4 linked regions of the Caenorhabditis elegans genome follow. The protein of the gene in region 4 interacts with the protein of the main gene of each other region in a pairwise test. Each region holds a gene or a part of one and is shown on either strand. Other genes may lie near its edges.

Region 1 (7,885 bases), on a different chromosome or scaffold from region 4:
ATTTTGGAAAAAAAAATTAAAAAATCAGCCGAAAATCCATAATTCATTAAAAATCGAAAAAATCAACTATAATTTTGAAGAAAAATCGATATTTCCGCCAGGGAAAATCTATCTTTTTTTACAAAAAAATTACTAATCTGCTGAAAAAAATCGATACCAATATGACCTTTTTTCTGGGGAAAAAACGGCAATTTGCCAAAAAAAAAATCAATATTTGAAACCCAGGTATTGTAATAGAAAATCGATAGTTTTGTGGAGAAATCAATTTTTTTCAGCATTAAAATCGGGTTTCCCCCAAAAATCAAAATTTTTCTGAAAAATCCCATAAATTTCAAATTTCCAGCCTCCCACCGAGCCCATGCCTATCCCATCTGACATTCTTCTCAATTGCCGGCACTCAAATCGCCTCTGTCTCCGCCGTGATGCCCTTCTTCCAGACAATTCCCTCTCTGGATCGTCTTGTCTTCTGTGAAACTCCGCTCGTTGAAAAAACCGAAGAACTTCGTGCTCAGCTCCCTGGAGTTCGTCTCATTCCGCACTGGTTGTGAAGACATTTTTCGGAATTTTTTTCACCTTTTTTTTTGTGATATTTCTTAATTATTACCTGTTCTTCTTATGTATTGTTGTGGACGGAACGTAAACCTGAACTTTATACAGACGTGACCTTTGGGTCATCATGAACTTATCGCGTAAGCGACCTCTCTTTATAATTCATTTACTTCTTACACTTCTTGTAATAAACTACTTCTCTCCTTGTCTCTCGCTCAATACACAACATGTATGTATGATACATTATCGATTTTTGATTTTTTCTATATAAATTTCAGTATTTTCTTTTGGTAAACTCTCCCTTTTGCAAAAAATGGCGAATTTTGCTTAATTTTCGTGCTTTTTCCACAAAAATCATGGAAATCGCTTAACATTTCGCGTTTCTGGTTCCCCGCAAGTGATTTTCCAATTTCGAAATTTTCACATTTTCCAGTCCCCGCTGAAAAAATGCGTATTTTCAGGTTTTCAGATCCCCGAAAATCACTATCCACAAAAATAATCAGAAACGTGGGCGGAGCTTCGCAGGCCACGCCCATGGAAATGTTTCGAAAAAAATCTGTAAGACTCAAAAATTCGGTTTTTCTAATTTCAAATTTTCAAACGGCTTTAAAGGCGCACAGAAATAGGCCATGCCCACAAAATGGGCAATTTTCGTTTCTTCTCAAAAATTTTTAAAAACTTGATTTTCTCCATTTTTCTAGTTTTAAATAGCGACTTTAAAGGCGCATAGAAATAGGCCACGTCCACAAAATATACATTTTCCAAAAAAATTCTGAAAAATTACACAAAATTCGGATCTTCTGATTCTAAAAGTTTGAACAGAGTTCCACAGAAATAGGCCACGCCCACAAAATTAACAATTTTTTTTCTTCACACAATGAGAGAGTGCAAAGAAAGAAGAGAGTACAGACAGAACGTGCAAAGTCGCTCTACGGATGATATGCGGGAAATTCAGAATGTTCATCGATTTGGTTACGACACTGTTCTTTTATTAATTAAATTTTAAAACGCGAAGAAAACCCCATTAACTCAGGATTTTTTTTTACAAAAACGATCAAAGTTTTGGTAGTTGAGTAGTATGCCTCATGACCCAAAAATATTTCCAGTACGTTTTCCATTAAAAGATTTTTCAAAAAAGTTAGTTTCCAGATTATAAACTAACAAATTTTAGGTAATTTTTTAAGCCGCTACATTTTTTCTAAAGAAATTTCATTATGAAATTCGGTGTTATCAGACAATTTCAAAAGTTATAAAGCAATAAAAAGGGGTCACATATATTTTTTTTTTTCGAAGTGGTTAAAATTTACGGGAAAGGTATACTACACAAGTATCAAAATGCCATACTGCTTTTCAATATTGTACTTTGTTTAAGTATCACAAAAGATGTACACTAATGACGAGCTCACGGAATTCATGGATTTCCTAGTGGAACAGACAAAGGATTCCATCTATCCATTGGTGGCAAAAAAAGTATTCAAAAAATTTCCCAATCGTCGTTTGATCCCGGAAGATAAGCGTTACCCAAGGTAAACAGACCTGGACTTGGCTTTTGTCATCAACTTTTTTGTTTAGATTTTGCTCACATTTTGCACCGAAAATGAACGAATTTAATAAGTACAGTATTGAGGAACGAATTCGATTGATGTATGCATTACGTGGAAAAGTTGAAGATGATTTTTTGACAAGGTGGGGAATAGTAATGGTGGTGAGAAAAATGAGGAGAGTGTGACCAAATATTATCGTAAAAAACTATTTTTTTCCAAATTTTATATAATTTTTTAAAATTCGGATACCGTATATTCTCTATTAGTGCGGCACCCCCATCGCTCACCTTTGACGTCATATGTCTTGATTGATTTTGAAGATATTAAGACCTTTTAAAACATTAAGCATAGAAGGAGTTTTAACAAACATTTCCGTAGTTAAAGACTTTTTACCAAAATCAAAGGTGACCGAGATATGAGCTGTCAAAGTTGAGTGGTGGGGTGCCGCACTAATAGAGAATATACGGTACTTTTCAATTTGCATCGAATTCTGAATTACCGCCAAAACTCCTATCGCAGCTTGATCTACAAAAAATGCGGGAATTTGTTCTACAGAAAATACAATTTTAAACTATGCGAAACCAATTTAGAAGTATGTGTCTAAATTCCTGCAATTCTCGGAGATCAGCCCAACATGGGACATTCTGACACCACGTGATTTTTTATTGATTTTTCAGGTTTTTTTTGTGTAATATTACTGGAAATTTTAGTGAGAAATTCAAGATAAATGTAAATTTTTTATTAGAAAGTATGCAAGCAAATCTGTGAAATCAATTTTTTTTCAGGATTGACGTCGCTCTTATTCCGACGCTTATAAAATAATTTACGTTTATCTTGAATTTTCTACTAAATTAGCAGTAAAATTACACAATAAACATGAAAAATTACACGAGGTGTCAGGTTGTCCCATTGCTCCACAGTACATGAAACACGGGGTTCTGGCCTTTCTCATTGAATTTTCGCGCTCCATTGACAATCGCCTGACGGACAACGCGTGGAAAAGTCGTGTACTCCACGCGGACAACAAACTTTAGTTTTACAACTAAAACGAGCCGCGACGCGACGCGACACGCAACGCGCCGTAAATCTACACAAAATCTCTCCGACCCAAAATGGCCTAGTTCGGCAACTTCTGCCATTTCGATTTATGAGGGAAGCCAGAATTCCGTGATGAAAGGCGGGAAAATATTTTTTGAAAATTTGTGACGTCCGTTACAGCGCATTTCGAATGTTTTTTAGAGCGATTTTTCAAATAACTTTAAATTTATTTGAAAAATTATAAAAAATGTCACGAAAATTTGCGCTCAAATTAAAAAATAATTACTCGAAATGCGCATCTTCAAATAATATTTTCCCGCCTTTAGTGTGCGATAGGACAGCCTGAAACCACAAGAAATCAGGCAAAAAAAAAGAATAATCTATCAATAAAAATGAAAATAATGCAAGCGCGTTCCATCAAACATCGAAATATAGGCAAATTGAGAATTTTCCAATTTTCAAAAAAATCATATAAAATTTAGAAAAAAAAAGTTGAATTTTTTACCTTTTCGATATAAAATCTGAAATAAATTACAGAATTCAAGCTCATGGAACTGTTGAGCTCAATGAAAAACATAGAATCTCAAAATTCATCTCGAATGACGGAACATTTTCCTTGGAAGATGATCGTGAACGTTTATCAATAGACACTACAGGACTCGAATTCGTCAGGCTCTTGGACTTCCTTATCGAAAAAACTAGAGATGTCATTGAACCATTGCTGGTGACAAAAAGAATTTTTCAAGAATTTAGCCGACTTGAGCCCGGTCCGAGGCATAAACATCCTGACAAAATGTATAATAGGAAGTGAGATAGGCATACCAATATAGTTTTTGTATTTAAATCATTTTATTTTAGATTTCGCTATAGTTTGGCACCAAATATGAATAAATATAGTGACTACAGTATTGAAGACCGGGTTCGATTATTCTTTGCGTTTGGTGGTGAGATCGAAGACGATTTTCTGAGGACGTAGGTTTTAAAAGATTTTTTAAACAGTGCATGATTTTTTGTGCACATCAAAAATTAAAAAAAAAACGGGTTTTACAAATTTTAAAACAAAATCGATAAATCATGGATTTTCGATATATTTGACCACTTTTTTGTTAAAAGTGGTGTAGTCAAACATTTTCTATTGCCTTATTATATTCAAAATTGTCTCAAACACACAAAATTTCATAATGAAACTTCTTCAAACATCTTTTAAAAAGTCACGGTGGCTCAAAAATGGCTTAAATTGACACCACGTGCCTTTTTGAAAAAGCTCAATAATTAACTAGTATACCCAAAAGTTTCCAGCCGCTTGACAAGTCTGTCAAATTTCACATTTTAACTAATTTTAGGTCATTTTTTGAGCCGCCAAATTTTTTTGGGAAGTTTCATTGTGGAAATTTGATGTTTTCAGACAATTTCGAGTTTAATAAAGTAACAATAGCCCCTTAAACTTCAAAAAACACTATTTTGCAGAATTGAAACCCATGGAACTGTCCAATTGGATGATAAGAGAAGAATCACAAAATATGTCTCCAACGACGGAAATTTCAAATTGGAAGGGATTCGTCGTCATATTATGTCAAAACCAGCTACAGGTCCCGAATACACGAGATTCATGGAGTTTCTTATCGAAACGACTAAAGATGCAGTTGAACCAATGAAGGTGCCCTTAGTATTGAAGGCATTCAAGCGCCAAGAAGGTCGCAAGTTTACAGAAAATGGATATGGTAGCAGGTTAGAAGTACTGTCTTTTGAATTAAAAACATGCTAACAAGGAAAGACTTTATATTCATTAACGGACTTCCATAAACCATAGTACTAGTTCTATTAAAAAGTGTTATTTGTGATCCCTCCGAAACTTTCAGCAGGTTTGGCAGAGCAAGTTGTGTGAAAAATTCCTTGATTCCAAATGCCGTATATTCTCTATTAGCGCTGCATCTCCAGCAGTACTGCAGTCTCTAATAGTGCTGCATTCAAAAAGGGCCTGGAAATTAGTGATACATGCAGCACTAATAGAGAATATACGGTATTTCTTTTGAAATTCCAGCCTCTTTAAAACTCCAACTTGTGAGTTGTTTAAAAAAGTACAAATCTTTAGCTTCAAATTCAGTAGCTCACTTCAATGGTTTTCTAAAGAATTATAAGCTGAAACTTATATATATATATATATCCATTTTTGTATATGTTTTTCATTTTTTCGAACAAATGAAACTATATTATCAACTTAAGAAACAAGTTTTTTGAAACTTTTGAAATGTTATCAAAGGTGGTGTAGGCAAATTTTTTTTATTGCTTGATTAGACTTGAAATTGTCTGAAAACACCGAATTTCATAGAGAAACTTTTTGAAAACTTCTCAAACAAAAAAATATGGCGTCTCAAAAATGACCTAAAATTAGTTAAAAATTTGAATTAGACCAACTTGATTTCGATGGGTCGATGAATCGCCAGATGTGATAAAATTTGGTAACTTCTGGTGGTTCATTAATTTTAAATATACCTAAATCAATTTGAAAACGCGAGAAAATAAAGTTAAATACCCAAAAGTAGAAGGTTACTTTTTTGTGGCCACTTAATTTTTTTGAGAAGTTTTCAAGAAGTTTCATTATGAAATTCGGTGTTTTCACTCAATTTTAAATATAATAAAACAAGAAAAACATTTTGACTACACCAAGTTGCAAATAATTTCTTTTTTGACAATTTCAAACAATTTGAAAATCCTAGATTTCACAAAAAGCTGGCACCAAATATGAGTAAATGGAGCAAATACAGAATCGAAGAGCGCACCCGAATGATGTTTGCAATGAAAGGCAAAGTTGAATCTGATTTTCTTGCTCAGTAAGTGTTGAATTTCCATATTCCATGCACTTGAATGAGTTTTCAGAATTGAAGCATCTGGCAAAGTCCAACTAGATAAAAACCAGCTAATTGTCAAATATACTTCAAATGATGGAGAGATTGAACTGGGAGGAGAGACGAGATTGGTTGAGAAGAAGAAGCGGAAATCTACAAATTACCACAAAATGCACCAAAAAAGACGCAAAATCATTCGGTCTGTCACGGATGAGACGAGTTTGGTTGCGAAATGGAAAAGAAAGTCGGACAGTTACTACGAAATGTACCAAAAGAGACGCAAAATCGGGGAGAAAGAGTTGTCTGACACGGCTGAGGTGGAAGAAGTAGCGCCATACGATGAGGCTCCCAATGAAGATCAAGATACCCAATTAAATCCATTTAATGCAATGAGTAATCTAACGACGAACGGTCCATCATCGAATGCACAGGAGTGGTCTAACGACGAGCCAAAGCAGGAGCCTGTATTCGAGGATATCTTCATTCAAAATCAACACTTTCCTTCAGAAATTGAAGATGTTCCAATTCAAGAAATTCGCCGTATTGAGCCAGACACCAAGCTTGCCTATTTGAACATAGGATCAAGTGTGCAAGGAGCTGTAATTACTGATTCTGGCGAGATCAAGCTTCATAAATTCTTGAATTCGTTAGAACTCATTCTTACTTCTCTCGAATCAGATACTCTAGATGATTTGTTAAACGATATTGAAGGGATTCGTGTTCGAATAAATGATGAGGTAGCTAGAACTTCAAATGTTGAAATAAATTCAGGACTTTTTTCAGATTCTTCCACCAGAGCTAGTGATCACTGCCTTGCAGACGTTCTTATTGGGAATCACTCGCAAGTCTCGATCCGCAGCGTCAGCAGAAAACAAATCATCACACGAGTGTCTGAGAATCTTCAAATATTCATTGCTTTGGCTCAGAAGCCCTTTGCTTTGGGAGATACAACAGAGGGTTGCGGAAGAAATTGAGAGTCACGTTATAGGAGAAAAGGTATGTTTCATTGAACATGTTGGTCTAGGGCTTTCATGTAGGCGTTAAACGCCTGCCTGCCTCACCTTCGTCTCAACCCGCGCCTTATACTTTTGATTATATCGAATTGATAAAATTGATAAAAGAAAATTAAACTTTTGTAAATTCACGTCAAAATACAAAAAAAAGGCAAAAGACCGAGGGGCAGGAATCAGGCTCTAAAACCGTGGAAGCCCTACGTTAGTCAAATAAACCCTAATTTATTTTCAGATTATCCTAGTCGCCGATGTTCAGCAAGGTATTCGGAACATTCTCTTTGCGGTTTCCAGCTAATTAACTTGAAACTTTTCATAAATATCTTATTTATTTTTTACATGAATAATCTTGCTCTACTTCACGAACTTCTATCTTGCACAAAAAATCAATAATTTAATCTTCTAGAAACTAGAAAGTATTCGTATCATTCATTCTTAAAATAAGTGTAGCTACACTTATTTTACATGTATTTAGTAATATATTATCGAAAAACACGATCTCACAATTTTCTCATAATTTATTTTTGATCTACCTTGTTGACTAGACTCCCTTCGACTAAAACAGCCACAACAAAATAACAACGACACCAAGATTGGGGCACACAAGATTGGGGCAAACAGGTAGATCAAAAATTAATTATGAGAAATTTGTGCGATCGTATTTTTTCGATAATATTGTTTTTGAGTCCAGGTCACAAAACGGTGCAGAATGAGATAGTGCAAAGAAAGAAGAGAGTACAGACAGAACGTGCAAAGACGCTCTACGGATGATATGCGGGAAATTCAGAATGTTCATCGATTCGGTTACGACAGGGTTCCTTTATTAATACCCAAAAAAGCCCATAACCTCAGAATTTTTTCTTTTTTTTTACAAAAATGATCAAAGTTTCGGTACTTG
Region 2 (4,967 bases), on a different chromosome or scaffold from region 4:
TTTTTGAAATTTTTTGTTCGTTTTCTTTAGATATTTTCACAGAATTAACTTTTCAAAATAGATGTAGGATGCGTACAATGTTGCCGATAATTTTCGGAAATTGCCGTTTTTCCGGCAAATTCGGCAATGTGCCGGAAATAGTCAATACCGGCAATTTGCCGATTTTCCGGAAATTTTAAATTCTGGCAATTCGCCGATTTGCCGGAAAAAAAATCGTTTGCCACCCCCGAATTGAGTCCCAGCCGCTACTGACAAATTGGCAAATTCTGATATTTAACCTCAAAATTAGGGCTGTACAACCGGACGTCCGGTCGTCCGAACCGGACGCACATGCGTCCGGTTCGGACGCAGTGCGTCCGGTGGTGTCAAAATCGGACGACCGGACGCCGATTTGTGCAACCCTACTCAAAATTGGCCTTTTTCCAAAAACTTTGAACGAACATACCCTTTTTTGAGAATTTTTTTCGGATTACAAAATTTGTTAGTTTTTGGCCATTTTGGGTAAAACCCCTTTTACGTAAAATTTTACTCTACTGCAGTAAACTGAAAAAAAGCGAGGAGAAGAAAAACAAATCAAAATGAGATAAATGTTGCAAAGTGAAGAAAAAAGCGAGATGAGGAGCAAGAAGAGGGGTCGGCAGCGGCGAAGGATAGTTGGCTACTAATGGGTTTCGCGGCTGCTAATATAAACAACGGCCACTCGAAACTTTTAAGATTCAAGAAACAAGGAGAAGATGAGGGACAATGTCTTCTTCTTTTTCTTTTCCAAATGCCCCTTCATATCCTTCTGGACACCACCACCTATTTTCTGCAGCTGTCATACGGGGTGCGCGAGGTAAAATAACAGCTGTCGGGAAGAAAAAGAAGGTCGAAACACTGAGAAGTCCATCCGAGAATAAAGAAGAAGAGGGTCAACTGTGTGAAGAACAAGGGCTGTAATTTAGTTGAAAGATTTTCTGAAGAATTTCTCCAATGCGGGAATATAGCTGGTTGGTGCCAAAAAATGGGCATAATTACATGTAGGCCAACAGGAAACAGCTGTTCGGTCTCAAAAAGACAAGGAGGAGCATCCTAGGACATAAAAATTATAATGAGGCTAGGATGGGTCATATAGGCTAGGCGGCAACTTTAGAACCTAGCAGTTGCTATTTATTTTGTTTTTGATCCTTGAAGGTGTGTTTTTTAAATCAGTTCCAAAATTAAATATTTTTAGCAATATTAGTAACAATTATATTTTATTGATTTGGTATTACAAAAAAAAGAAAATTTGCGCCAAAAATACTACTGCAACCGGTTTTGACACGAAAAAAAAACGATTTGTAATTTTTCTAAATGTTTAATAACTGTTTTGTTTTAGTGTCTTTAATGAATAAATCTATTTTTAAAGAACAACTATGAAAAATCCATGAAAAATTTGTAGCAACGAAAGTTTGAAGCCACAGTACACTTTAAAGGCGCAGTTAACCACGAATCACAACATATCGCCCTAACACGGGAAAAATTATGTGCAATAAATATGACGAGTATTGCCCAATTCGTAATGCAATAAAAAAATTTCAATTAAAAGTGTACAAAAAGCGGAGCGACGACGGGTATGCCGGTGAAAGGCGGTGGTCTCTTCTTCCACGCGCCAGGATGCAACAAAAAGTAGTTTAATATGTACTATTCGTTTTCAATGATCGAACACACTCACTCACATCCGCACACACACAAACCGATTGATCCATTCAGGAGTATTGGGTGGAAGGAGAAGCAACGGATAGATATACGGCTATATATCAACGAGTGCGTCTACTACAACTACGTCAGGCGCCTGTGAATCGGTTGATCCAACTTTTTTCTTCAAAAAAATCGTTGGTATTATTAGGTTTTATGGACAATTTAAAATTGGCGAATGGCAGATTATATCTAGAAAATTGGTTAGGAATTGAGATAATATCGGAAATTGACACATTGTTTCTAAAAATATACTCTTAAATTTCGGTTTTCTAGATTTCATTTTTGCCTAGACTAACTCGAAATAATTTGAGACAAACGACCAAAATATACAATAAAGGATGGCAATTGAAGGTTGAATTCCAACTGCTCTGACGCGGAAAAGTTGGAAAAATTTCAGATTTTTACTGAAATTAGCTTACTATAAAATAGTCCTCGAACGAATTTCTTGAAAAAAAGTTATATATTTTATAATTAATAAATTAAATTAAAATATTTTCTTGCAATTCTCCATGAATGATAAGCCGGAACACTTTTCATCATCTTTTTATGTGAAAATCGATTCGCCGGTCAAGAATTGATCTCGTGACGAACACAAGAAAATATATTTGATAAATAAAATATTCAATCAACCTCAAAAAGTCTTTGCGAAGACAGATTGCGTAAGATTAATTGAAAATGGACGGAAGAACACGGAACGCAGCGGGAGAGGGCGGCCGATCCTTGCGATTTGAATTTATATATGTATATGTATGAATTATAAACGTAGCAGCAACGAAGATTTTGATTTTAGCCGGCTAATGGTCGGATTATACCGCCAGGCGCCACGGCTAACAGACACACAATGACAGTCGGTGGAGGTCATCTGATGAACGAGTGCGATTTCGAACGAACTGACGGATTGGATGAATAGAGGGTAATTAGATGGAATACATACATATTGACAGAAATAGACTGACTCTTTCTCTATGTCATCAAATACGAATAAACATGCACTATGTGTGTTGTGTACGGAAAGAAGCATTAATTGAGCTTTGGGTAACCATCCACCGGCTCACGTAACAAATTGGTTGGGCAGATGGGGGAGCACCTACTGGAGGTGTGCATAAATTATTCATTATAAGACGATTATTTCTATGACTTATTGAATTGAAGGCTTATCGTACTTTAGCTTAAACATTTAATTGAGGGAAACCGGGGGCTAAACCTCGGATTATGCGATTTTTTAAAATTTCAGTATAAAAAACTCACAGCTCCATTGTAGAATCCTCCGATGCCTTGTTAGTTGTTCGCAATTTGAATATCTGAATAATCAACTTTGAAATTACAAAAAATCCGTGTTAAAACGCGTTTTATCGAACGAAAAAGCAAGAAAAGAAGATTTGTGAAAGAAACCCGGATAAATTGGCCAACAAATCACCTCGGAGTTAGTTTTCTGTCTATTTAAGGAAAGGAAAATGAGTTAAAATGAAAATACATCGATTAAATGAAACGAAACACAATTTCCCAGTCAAATTTAAATTTAAAACTTCAATGCTTCCGCTCACTTTCTCTCCGTCTCCACTCACGTATCAATAGAGCGCGTTGTCATAACTCCGCCCCTTTTAAAATATATTTTATTTTCAAAAGTTCCCTAGAAGAATGCTTTTTACTAATTCATTTATTTTATCTTTCCAATTATTATTTTAGCTGAAAAACTGGAATTTCATTTAAATTTTCCTATAAATATCCAGCTCTATGCTTTGTTTCTTCCTTTTTGTAATTTCTGCAGGTTTATGTTACTTTTTTGAACATTTTTAACTGGTTTTATTTCGAACGAATACGCATTTAGATTCCAGGAAATGTTACAGCAGACTAAGATGTTTATCAACTAGAAAATTCTGATTAATCAATATTTACTCATGCTGCAAAAAAAGTTTTTTGAATTTCGCTCGCAAAGGTCGCATTTTCGTTGCAAGACCCATCACACAGCTATGAGAACACTTTCCCCGCCACCTGATGCACCAGTCTCTCCGCTCTTTGCAACGAGATTTGTTTTGTCTTCGATGTGGCCTTTCTCTTCATTTTCAGACCGTTTCTCTAACTCTAATGGTTCCTTCAATGAATACTGCAACCGCTTTATTTCTCTTGTTGTGTGCTCATATCATATTAATCGTTAAAACAACTTTTTCAGTCTTCGTTCACGGACACCCGTCGCGGAGATCGTCAAACATGAGAGAGAAGGTAGGTACTACGTTCAGAAATGTTTATAATTTAATATTAATAAGATTTGTGTACTACATTATTTTATTTCAGTGGCGTAAGAAGCGTATGCGTCGCCTGAAGCGCAAGAGGAGAGCCGCAAAGAAGTAGACAAGCTGCTTCATCTCCAAGACGTCAAATTATGCTGCCGATCTGTGATCTCGACTTCACCGTCTTCTCCACAATTGTCAACTGGATTACTCGTCTTCTTGTGCTTCTCATCGTGAAATAATCATCCTACAAAAGTTATTGCAATTTTCTTTTTTAAATCCAATAAATAATTGTTTGTCCAAATAATAGTACTTTGTTACAAAGCCTGAAAGAAAAACTATGGGAACTCGTGCGTCCAAGATTCTGGTTAAGGTAAATCGTCAGTCGAACTTTCATTGTCATTTGTTGGATTATCTTCTTTGGGCTCGCATTCGAAGCTGTTTTATTTAGAACTCTCCTGGTCTAATAAATTAATATTTTCACAGAATTATCTGACGAAAATTAAGAAAAGTGTCTCGAGACTTCCAGAAAATTGACCCAATTTTTTAATAGCAAAAAATAATCACAAATATCCTGAAATTTAAGTGAAAATGTGAGCATTTTACGTTCGAACGCGTTCAGGGCACAAAATCGATAAATTGTAAGAGATTCAGTGCTTTCGAGAGATCACAGAAAAGCGAGAGACGCAGAGAAACCGCTGCCCGCAAGAAAGGGGGAAACTCGGTTCAAATCGCGCGCCGGTCGCGTTTTCGTGGCGAGACCCGCCGCAGGACATGAACGAAATTCGCCGTTGTTCCTAAAAAATTTTCACTTCAACCAACGCTACGCGAATCGATGAGTTTTATTTTCTCGTTTGCCGTTGTTTTATTTTGGTTTTTCCTTGAAATGTAATCTTTTTGCAATCAATCTGAATATATTTTCTCAATATTTTCAAACTGATTTCGTTTTCTCTTCGCTTTTTCAACTGTATCCTCCACTTTCTTTTACTTAATGTATTATTTTCAGGCTTCGTTCACGGA
Region 3 (4,750 bases), 2.6 Mb from region 4:
AAATGCTGTAAAATGAATGGAATTTATTGGGAATGCTTTCATGTTTACATAAACGAGAATGCATTCTTTAAGTGGATCAATTTGAAAAATGGAACACATCAATGGAATTTAGAAATTTGTTGTGTTTCTCTTAGAAAGTAATTTTGTTAGAAACCTCTCCAAATGGGAAAAACTCAAATATCATAGTAAATCTTTTCAAAAAACTTGTCTGAATTTTTAATTCAAATTGTGTTGTGAAAACTTAGTTTGCACCTATCATAATTTCAAGTGTGGCAGATTTTTGTTTCTATGAGTTTTTATACTTTAATTGCCTTTTTTTTTATTTGCATATATTGCTCTATTTCAACATTCTGAGGACGAACCAATGCTCGAAATTACTTAGAATGCCCATATTTTTGGAACATTTCGTAAATTACCAAAACATTGAATGTAAGTTTTTTAAAAATTGAAAAAAGGGCTTTTCTGAATCAACTTCTCTATTTTGAATTCACATTTAAAATTGAAAGAATATTTCAAGTTTCTAGAATTGAAAAGTAGATGGCACTTCATAAGAAAAGAAAGAGGAACAGGGAACAATCTGCCAACATTTTTGATGAATTGCTCCCAAACAAAGAGTGAACGACAGCATTTTGATGGACAAAGAGAGAGTCAAAGGGGTCAAGAAAGTGAACATACTCTACCATGACAAGGCTGTTCTCTTCTGGTGATTCAAAACTGAAAGGTTTGAAGCAATTCGAAACTGACGGAAAGGACACGCTCCGGTAAAAACGATGAATGAACATCAGAAATGGAACACACATGGCAACAACACGGACCGATGAACACCTGGCTAGCCACGAGGATTTGCCGGATTTTCGAGGATTTTAGTTAGTTCATAAACAAATTGGGGTTTGGATGGTGTTAATTAGAAATTTTTTGATAGTTTTTTGTAGAGAGGGCTTGAAAACGTTATTGAAAATCCATGTGAGCTATATAAAGTTTTTTCAACTTTTTGATAGATGATTTTCTGGTTAATGTTTAATCTATGACTTGTATATTTTTGTTGTTTTTTCTATTTTTTCTATTTTTCACAGTACAAAATTATTTTTAAAAAATCTATTTAGAGATTCAGGAGAAATGATATCAATTTTGGCAAACTTTCATAACTTTTAGACGCCATTGCGAAATTTTACTAATGGTTATTGAAAAATAATCGTTTCGCGGACTTGAAGTTATGTAGCTCTTTCTTTCTTGTCATTCTTGAAAAAAATTCACCAATTTTCTCCGTTTTTCTTCCAACTTACTTAGTATCTTGGTTACCTTTTCCTAGACCTCCCCGACTTTCAAACTTAATTAGACCACACTTGCAACTATCTTTAAAAATTCAGAGAATTTCACTTTCATGGCCAAGAGCAGCAATAAAAGTCAGAAAAGTGAAAGAAAAGAGAAATAGAGTGCAACACAGAAACAAGAATGGACAAGAGAACGGACAACCCATTGTTTCAGAATGTCGTTCCTTTTCTCTGTGTCTCTTTTGAATTCATACACATGTTCCATGAAACATGCTCGCGCACAGATTGAAATGAACAGAAAGAGACGAGGAAGAGTGCGAATGATTTATTCATCAATGCTCTGGTATGTTCAGAGCTTTGCAACAAATGAAAAAGAGCACAAATGGAACATTTCTGAATAATATTGATTCGTAACTTAACTTTGCTTCATAACTTTAGAACATCTTGAAAAAATTGCACAAAAAAGAGTTTTGTCTGTCGTTTGGGAAGTAGAGTTGCGTTGTGGAGACATTATTTTTCCTAGGGCTGAGTAAGGCTGAGTAATCTAGTATCCTACCAAATAATTTAGATAATTTTTTAAAAAGGCTGCGGTTTCTTTGGAGAAATTACATGAAATAAAAAGTTCTGAACACTTCAACACACATTCAAAAGTTTTGTTACATTCCGATCTAAGCTATAAGTCATATTTTTGGAAAACCAACAAAAAATTCTGAACGAAAATCCAGTAGGTTTCAAGGAAAACCGTACAGCCAACAAGAAAAGATCATAGAAAATCACATCTGGATGGCCTTCCGTTCTATTTCTTTTGCCGGATTGTCACTAAATCATCTGCGAATGATAAATGACCGTAACCAAAGAAAACTAATCAAGTGTATAGAATACGGGAAATGAGGTCATTGGAAAAAAGGCCTAACTGGAAATTAGGCTGAAGCTACTGCTAATACTAGTGTTACGAAACACGACAAGAAAAAGTAATCAATTCAGAAGCATCGCCAATAAACCAACAAATAGAACATATAATCAAGTTATCTGAATGCACGAGATAGGCGTAAAGGACGTACGAACATGCCAGCTTAGAGATTATAGGAAATTGTGAGTCACAGACAAAAACGCAAGTTGAGATAGCAATCTTTTGCTCGATGAGGGTGAAGGTCCGGTCAACTGATGACCACTAAAGATAGACACAACATACTACCAAAGCTTTATAAAAACGAATAATTGGAAAAATAGGAAAATTTGTTAGCGATAAGAAAAATTTGAATTATCCAAATGTGAATGTAAAGATAGCCTGCCAAATTTGAAAAAAAAACGCATCTTTGTGAACATTTTACAAAACTACAATAAAGATGGTTTAGCTTTTGTCAAAACATACCAACAAAAAAAACACTATAATTTTCGAAACACTAAATGTTTTATGATTTTTGGAAAGTTTTATTTTTCCGTTCTTCAAACTATTCAGTGACTCGATTTTTTTCCAAACCTTTTTTCTATAAAATAAAAAACTTTACCCATTTTCCATTTAACATCTAAACGTTTCAAATTGGCTAAGATCAAACGGCAAACACTTGAAAAGTGTGCATAAGGTAATTACGAGAAACCATTTGGGAGTCAAGTGTTTACGGACCACTGACATTTCTTTGGTTACCACAATAAGAACTCACCACTTTTCACCAAAAAGTTGATCTTCTTCGTCACTGTCAACTTCCAGATCGCATTCCTCTTCGCAACTGTCCATATTGGCTGAAATTTTGGAATTCAATCTTGAATAAATGTAACAAAAAGAAAATGGATCTTCTGAGACACAAAGTTTACCGGAAATGTACATGTAGCTTTGTTTTAGAGTTGAAACTTGAGAAGTCGTATAAGAAAGAAGGAAAAAATTGGAAGGGAAAGGAAAACTTTAAGGGGTCAAAAACCTTTTTTAAAGAAAAAAAACTGAAAAAATTCGTCAAATCAAAAAATCTAGCATCAAAAATTGCTCGTTTTTCGACTTTTAGAAATATCCAAAGTATTTGCCCAAACTTGCGCAAATAATATTTGTATACTAAATTCTGAATATCTAGTTTTCAATCAGCAGGAAACAGACTTTTATTGAATTTTTTTCATAGATTTCTCTAGTTTATTGTCACAATAAATCCACTTTTTCTAGTCTTAAAAATATGTATTGTATGTAGAACAATCTTTTTATTCTCAAGTTAAAAAATTATGAACCCTTGCAATCTAGAAAAAATTCAAAACACGACTTGTCAAGCTAATCCAAATAAAACAATAACAAAAACAAAATTGAGATTTCCGCTCTCTAAATACCGTATTTTCCTATGTTTGAACCACACTACTCTACATTGACGGCTTATATTTCAGTGGTTTAAGCTCAACGAAAAACTGTTCAACTATACAAATATAGCAAATTATTTGACACCTACTTTTACAGTTTAAAATGTCTCAATAAAATATAAGAAGACCGAGATATTTATGAGTTGTTAAAGTAGAGCAAAGTGATGCAAGGCCAAATTTGAGTGTGTGGTCTAAAGTTTTTAAGACAGAAGGAAAACCCAATTGACCACTAAATAATCTACACCAAATTTTCTTCCGTCTCCTCGAAAAAACAACAACATCTGCATAAAAAAGTGATTGACCTTCCCTCTGTCGGGATCGTTGCTAACAAAGTGCAAAAGCGATGATACAAGTCAAGGGATACCCCCCTCCCCCGCACAACAACAAGAAAGAATAAAAAAGAAGGCGGGGACAGCAAAGAGGGACACATATATCTCTTCCGCGCGGAAAGAAAGCGGCAAAAACGTACTAATGCGCGAGAAAAGAAGCAGAAGAAGCATATAATGACCTTTTTATGATAAAGTCTCGTGGGACAACCGGACCATCAATATGGTATTGAGTATAGAATATGCAAATTTTGGTTGAATAGAAAAACGAAGAGAAAATGGAACAGAAGGAGAGTTCAGAGTGCGCAAATAATGGAAGGAACGCGCGTAATCTGGAAGAGTTGACATAAAAAATAAGAGGATTATTCATAATTGAGTCGCTCGGCACGATACGGTAAGGAAACTATAATGAAGAAGATTACAAGACAATCAAAACTAGAACTTTTAAAAAAGTTTTCAGAAAAACTTGGTAGCAGTAAGGTAGTTATAGGTAAGTAAGGTATAGAGCACATTCTGAAGTTGGAAATTTCAAGTTTTTTTTTTTTTGAAAAAAAAGTGAAGTTTCTGCTGAAACCATAGAAAACTATAGTTCAAATTTCCCGAAAATAATTACAGTTAGCGTCGCCAAGTTTAGCCAAGATAAATGAGTATTTTATGCAAGAATTTTTGTAAAACTTCCAACCGAAAAGCTATTTGTACTTCAAAAATGTTTATTCAACTCACCCTCCATTATGTAGATGAGTTGATGGTTTTTCACAATTGGAATGAACACATAGTAAGACTACTCTACAGATAGAGTTGAATAAAAATGTTCTGCTT
Region 4 (5,053 bases):
TTAGAAAATGAAACAATGATTTGGAAAGTTCATCTAATCACTGTCATCATCTTCATCGTCGCCTGCAGCGGCCGCGTGAGCTCGATTGACTCTCTTGGATGGTCCCTGGGCGCTCAATGTCTGCAGAAGGCTTGTTTGACGACCATCACAGGCGACCACTTTCAGTCTGAAATATTAATAATTATAGATCATCGAGAAACAAAAATTTTTATAGAAAATTAATAAACAATTGCTTTTTTCTAGATTTTTTATTTTTAATACAAATAAAAGAAACACTCACTTATCAATAGGCTCATCAAACGATCGCTGGGGATCTTTCAACGTGACATTATTGAGAATAAACGTCCAAACGTTATCACAATATCGATAAGTGAGCAGTTGTGTCGCACAAAAATTCATTTTCTCTTTTGGAAGCCGCGAGATTTGCTTGTTCATGCTTTTATCAAATTGTTGCAGAACTTTCGAAGCAAGAGATTTCGTGAGAAGTCCTTCGGATTCCATGTCCTCAAGAGTTTTATCGAGTGCCTGACCCAGTGTGGTCCCTCGGTAAAGAGCGTATGACGACATTTCTGGAAGATTCTGAAATATCGTTGGATTAAATTTTTCTCGAGAAGATGCCAGATATATTTTCAGATTATCAACCGAGAAACTATGGATTAGTATGACAAAAAAGAACAAAAACAAACAATATCTTTAGTTTTTAATGAACATCGAGATTGAATTTTTCACAAAGACATGTATAAAACAGTTCAAAATAGATAATACCAGTACAAGAAAAAGGGGAACATACATAAGAGGTTAAAATTGATAAAACGATAAGGCATTTAATCCTTGATTTGGCCCGGAAAATAAGGATTAATATTGACAACAGGGCCCGGGGCTTCCGTCACTGTGTACATCTCCTCGACGCGTATCACCATTTCTTTTCGATTTTGACGACATCCGATGAGACATTTGCGAGCTGAAAAATGCATTTTTCTTTGTTTAAAGAATTTTTAGAACAAATATTTTTAGTTAATGAATATCATCTCTTACATTTGCACTGCTTACATGGCCAATGGCACCCATCACACTCCACCACGAGACAATCACAAAGATCGAAAAACAAAGTCTGTCCTTTTGCGGTAACCGAAAGTTTTCCTGTTTTGTCATGATGCAAAGGTTCGTCTCTCAGATCCGCCTGCTTCTCCGCGGCTACACGTTTCGAGCGGTTGGTGCTAATAATATCCACAGAGTCGGGCAAAAATCGAGACATTTCATCTCCTGGATTCGCGAACTGGAGGCCTTGAAGCTCTCGGTGTGCCATTCTCGTTCGACGGCTCGTTCCTGAACTTTCCTTTCGAGATGATGGCTGCAACTTCTGGGAACTTTGTTAAAATTTTCTTTATTCAAAAGCGTACCTTTGTTTCGAAATCGTCAAAAAGCTCCGCATCGACTTCATCGCAAATCTCGGAATCTTGTTGCATTTCACTATCCGTCGAGAAATCATTTTCAAGCTGAAAAAAATACAAAAATTAAATACATTAAAATTTCAAATTTCAAACCTCTGCTGCAGCTTTCGCCAGACCGGCAATTTGTGCGAGAACGTCATTGGAGCTCATTTTTAGAATTATTGGTTCAGAAATTTAGTAGGAAATATGATTTATATCGATTTAATTTGAATATATCCGAGGAAATTCTATTATTCGATATGCTCTCCTCGCGGGAAATAACATGTGCGTACCACTTGCGAAAAAGCGCGCCGCGCGTTGCATTCTGTGACCACGCCCTCATTAATTTCTTATTCATTCAGTTCCTTTGAGTGTTTTTCATGAAATTTCTGCTGTCAATTTATTATTTTTAAAATATTTTTCTAAACGTTAGTTAACTTTTAGTTTGTTACAGATGCTACATAATGGGGAAGGCGGAATGAGTGTTAATGATCTTCAAGAGCTCATCGAGCGACGGATACCCGATAATCGAGCTCAACTGGAAACGAGTCATGCGAATCTTCAACAAGTTGCCGCGTATTGTGAGGATAATTATATACAATCAAACGTGTGGTTTAATTTTTTCTTTTAAGTTTATGAATTAAACGTTTTCAGAATAAATCTGCTGCGCTAGAGGAATCCAAGAAATTCGCGATCCAGGCACTCGCCAGCGTAGCCTACCAGATTAACAAGATGGTTACGTAAGTATTTCAATTAATTTGTTTTAATTATGAATCTTTTTTTCAGAGATTTACACGATATGCTTGCTCTACAAACCGATAAAGTGAACTCTTTAACAAATCAAGTTCAATATGTTAGCCAAGTAGTTGATGTACATAAAGAGAAGCTTGCAAGACGAGAAATTGGTTCTCTCACAACCAATAAAACATTATTCAAGCAACCCAAAATCATTGCACCAGCAATCCCAGATGAAAAGCAGAGATATCAACGAACGCCCATCGATTTTTCTGTTCTTGACGGAATAGGGCATGGTGTCAGAACATCGGATCCACCGAGAGCAGCACCAATCTCAAGAGCAACTTCATCAATTTCTGGCAGTTCTCCATCACAATTTCACAATGAATCTCCAGCGTATGGAGTTTATGCTGGTGAACGAACGGCTACGTTAGGAAGAACAATGAGACCGTATGCTCCATCAATTGCTCCATCGGATTATCGGTTGCCACAGGTGAACATTTGAAATATTCATAGAGGCTGAAAATAATTTGCTTTTCGTGTTTTTGACAAAACGTTTTCAAAAAAAAAAGGGAGCGAAAAATTCTGACATAACTTATACATTTTAAATTTTAAACTTTTTTTTCTGAAAAATACACTCAATATTGAAAAAAAAGTGAACCATTGATAAATTTATTCAAAAAACGGTTTTTTTGACCCAAAACGACCGCATTTCATAATGAGACTTCTGAAAATATCGAAAAAAAATTTAGAGCGAGCCTGAATAAGAATCTGAAATCCTTGTTACAGCAGTTAGATACAGTATTTATTGAATAATCACATAATTAATTTTGAAATTTTTTAGAAGTCTTTTTATGAAATTCAATGTTTCAGGCTAGTTTTTGTCGACTTCAGACTAAACAACTAATTTTTAAAAAATCAGCTCATTTCCTTTTCAAAAAATTAATCAAGTTTTTTCTAACATAATCCGATTACTTTTTACAGGTCACACCACAATCAGAATCACGAATCGGCCGTCAAATGAGCCACGGATCAGAGTTCGGAGATCATATGAGCGGTGGTGGTGGAAGCGGAAGTCAACACGGATCATCAGACTATAATTCCATTTATCAACCTGATCGTTACGGAACTATTCGAGCTGGTGGTCGGACTACAGTGGATGGTAGCTTTTCTATTCCCAGACTATCATCTGCACAAAGTAGTGCTGGAGGTCCAGAATCACCAACATTCCCACTTCCACCACCAGCTATGAATTATACTGGATATGTTGCACCGGGAAGTGTGGTACAACAACAACAACAACAACAAATGCAACAACAAAATTATGGAACTATTCGAAAATCAACGGTGAACCGACATGATCTTCCACCTCCACCAAATTCTTTGCTCACTGGAATGTCAAGTCGAATGCCAACACAAGATGATATGGATGATCTACCACCTCCACCAGAATCAGTTGGTGGGTCATCAGCGTATGGAGTGTTTGCTGGTAGAACAGAATCGTACAGTTCGAGTCAGCCACCAAGTCTCTTTGATACGAGTGCTGGATGGATGCCCAACGAGTATTTGGAAAAAGGTATTTTTGGAGATTTTAATTTGATTGAAAAATTGTCGGAAAAAAATTCTCTAAGCTTTTCTGTATTATTTTACGATTTAGAAAATTGGCTAAAATTGTTAGTGAAAAATTTATTATAAAAACCGAAAAAAGTTTAAAAAAATTAAATTTAATAAAAATTTAAAAAAGAGAAAAAAACAAAAAATTTTGTGATATTGGAAAGTGATTTTGAAAAATTCAAATATCTCCAAATTTTTTTTTTTTGAGAATTTTCAAATTTTGAAAATTATAAGCTTTGATTTTTTAAAAAGTTATCTTTTTAGCTTTTATTTTCGAAAAAAACGAAAAATAAATTTCCTTTAAAAACATCGGAGTATCAAAAAAATCCAAAAAGAATCGAAATCTTAAGTTGTAAAATGCGATTTTTTGCAGAATTTTTAATGTTACAAAGCAATTATATTTGTCAATTTAAACATTTTCGAAAAAAACCAATCTTTTTTTTCAGTACGGGTCCTGTACGACTATGATGCTGCAAAAGAAGACGAGTTGACACTTCGCGAGAACGCAATTGTCTACGTACTGAAAAAGAACGATGACGACTGGTATGAAGGTGTCTTGGATGGAGTCACTGGGCTTTTCCCTGGAAACTACGTAGTTCCAGTATGATAACAAGAAATGCTAACCCTGCTAAATCAATTGCTTTTAATCTCACTTTTATTCATATTCATATATTGCCTTTTGCCTCGAGTACTTGTATGTGAAAAGCCAAAAATAAACGATGGATATGTAATCATGAAGGAAGCAGTGGTCCCCTCGTTTGCAGCAGTGAGAAGCCTAAAAATAGCCAATACGACTGCTATTTTCGAGTCTCGACGCATTTCCTGAACGCATGTGCTCGTTCTCTCACTGCCCCCGTACTACTCTCTTTTGGTTTTCCTAGGGGCTCGCCTATTTAATGAGATTGCTCATTTTCTCTTCATGCACACACATTCATTCATTTTCTTATATTTTTGTGCCTTCTTATTTCTTTTCCTCTCCTCTCTAGTTTATTTTTTCTTCTATTTTAGAATTTTAAATAATTCATGTTCGGCACGACGAATAGTGACGCCAAAGAGTTTGCAAGGCGTGGGAATTGTATCTTTTTTGGTGGGCGGTGGACACAGATTTTCTTAGAGGAGGAACAAAGGTCAAAAATACAAGCAGAATTCTTGAACAGTTGAAATTCCCGCGCGATTTCCAATAAGATGACTTGGATCGCGGTGGGACCTTAACTATTGCACAGACGCAAAATTTTGTCATTTTTGCGCCAAAATACGGTACTCGGTCTCGACAC

The links.
Region 1: the proteins of abi-1 (region 4) and M57.1 interact in a two-hybrid assay, tested with the Caenorhabditis elegans proteins (2 studies listed by BioGRID).
Region 2: the proteins of abi-1 (region 4) and M04F3.5 interact in a two-hybrid assay, tested with the Caenorhabditis elegans proteins (2 studies listed by BioGRID).
Region 3: the proteins of abi-1 (region 4) and mig-10 interact in a two-hybrid assay, tested with the Caenorhabditis elegans proteins (4 studies listed by BioGRID).

Annotation. Positions count from the first base shown.
Region 1 is NC_003282.8:3,531,720-3,539,604, forward strand, and holds M57.1 (SPK domain-containing protein), read left to right. Parts: upstream 1-1,921; 5' UTR 1,922-1,932; coding exon 1,933-2,075; intron 2,076-2,121; coding exon 2,122-2,235; intron 2,236-3,668; coding exon 3,669-3,938; intron 3,939-3,989; coding exon 3,990-4,103; intron 4,104-4,598; coding exon 4,599-4,859; intron 4,860-5,848; coding exon 5,849-5,962; intron 5,963-6,008; coding exon 6,009-6,714; intron 6,715-6,760; coding exon 6,761-6,973; intron 6,974-7,222; coding exon 7,223-7,285; 3' UTR 7,286-7,344; downstream 7,345-7,885. Other genes in the region: M57.2 (Geranylgeranyl transferase type-2 subunit alpha), read left to right, coding at 344-548.
Region 2 is NC_003279.8:4,785,339-4,790,305, forward strand, and holds the start of M04F3.5 (IMD domain-containing protein), read right to left. Parts: upstream 3,021-4,967; 5' UTR 2,976-3,020; coding exon 2,968-2,975; intron 1-2,967. Other genes in the region: rpl-41.1 (60S ribosomal protein L41), read left to right, coding at 3,928-3,939, 4,012-4,068.
Region 3 is NC_003281.10:8,277,364-8,282,113, reverse strand, and holds the start of mig-10 (Abnormal cell migration protein 10), read right to left. Parts: upstream 3,007-4,750; coding exon 2,933-3,006; intron 2,470-2,932; exon of another isoform or gene 2,378-2,469; intron 1,676-2,377; exon of another isoform or gene 1,539-1,675; intron 6-1,538; coding exon 1-5. UniProt on the Caenorhabditis elegans protein: Required cell non-autonomously for proper development of the excretory canals and for the long-range anterior-posterior migrations of embryonic neurons CAN, ALM and HSN.
Region 4 is NC_003281.10:5,689,562-5,694,614, reverse strand, and holds abi-1 (SH3 domain-containing protein), read left to right. Parts: upstream 1-1,884; 5' UTR 1,885-1,908; coding exon 1,909-2,037; intron 2,038-2,084; coding exon 2,085-2,170; intron 2,171-2,216; coding exon 2,217-2,658; intron 2,659-3,149; coding exon 3,150-3,741; intron 3,742-4,225; coding exon 4,226-4,386; 3' UTR 4,387-4,508; downstream 4,509-5,053. Other genes in the region: B0336.13 (Transcription initiation factor IIA small chain homolog), read right to left, coding at 34-166, 281-567; arle-14 (ARF7 effector protein C-terminal domain-containing protein), read right to left, coding at 825-961, 1,036-1,360, 1,401-1,496, 1,545-1,601.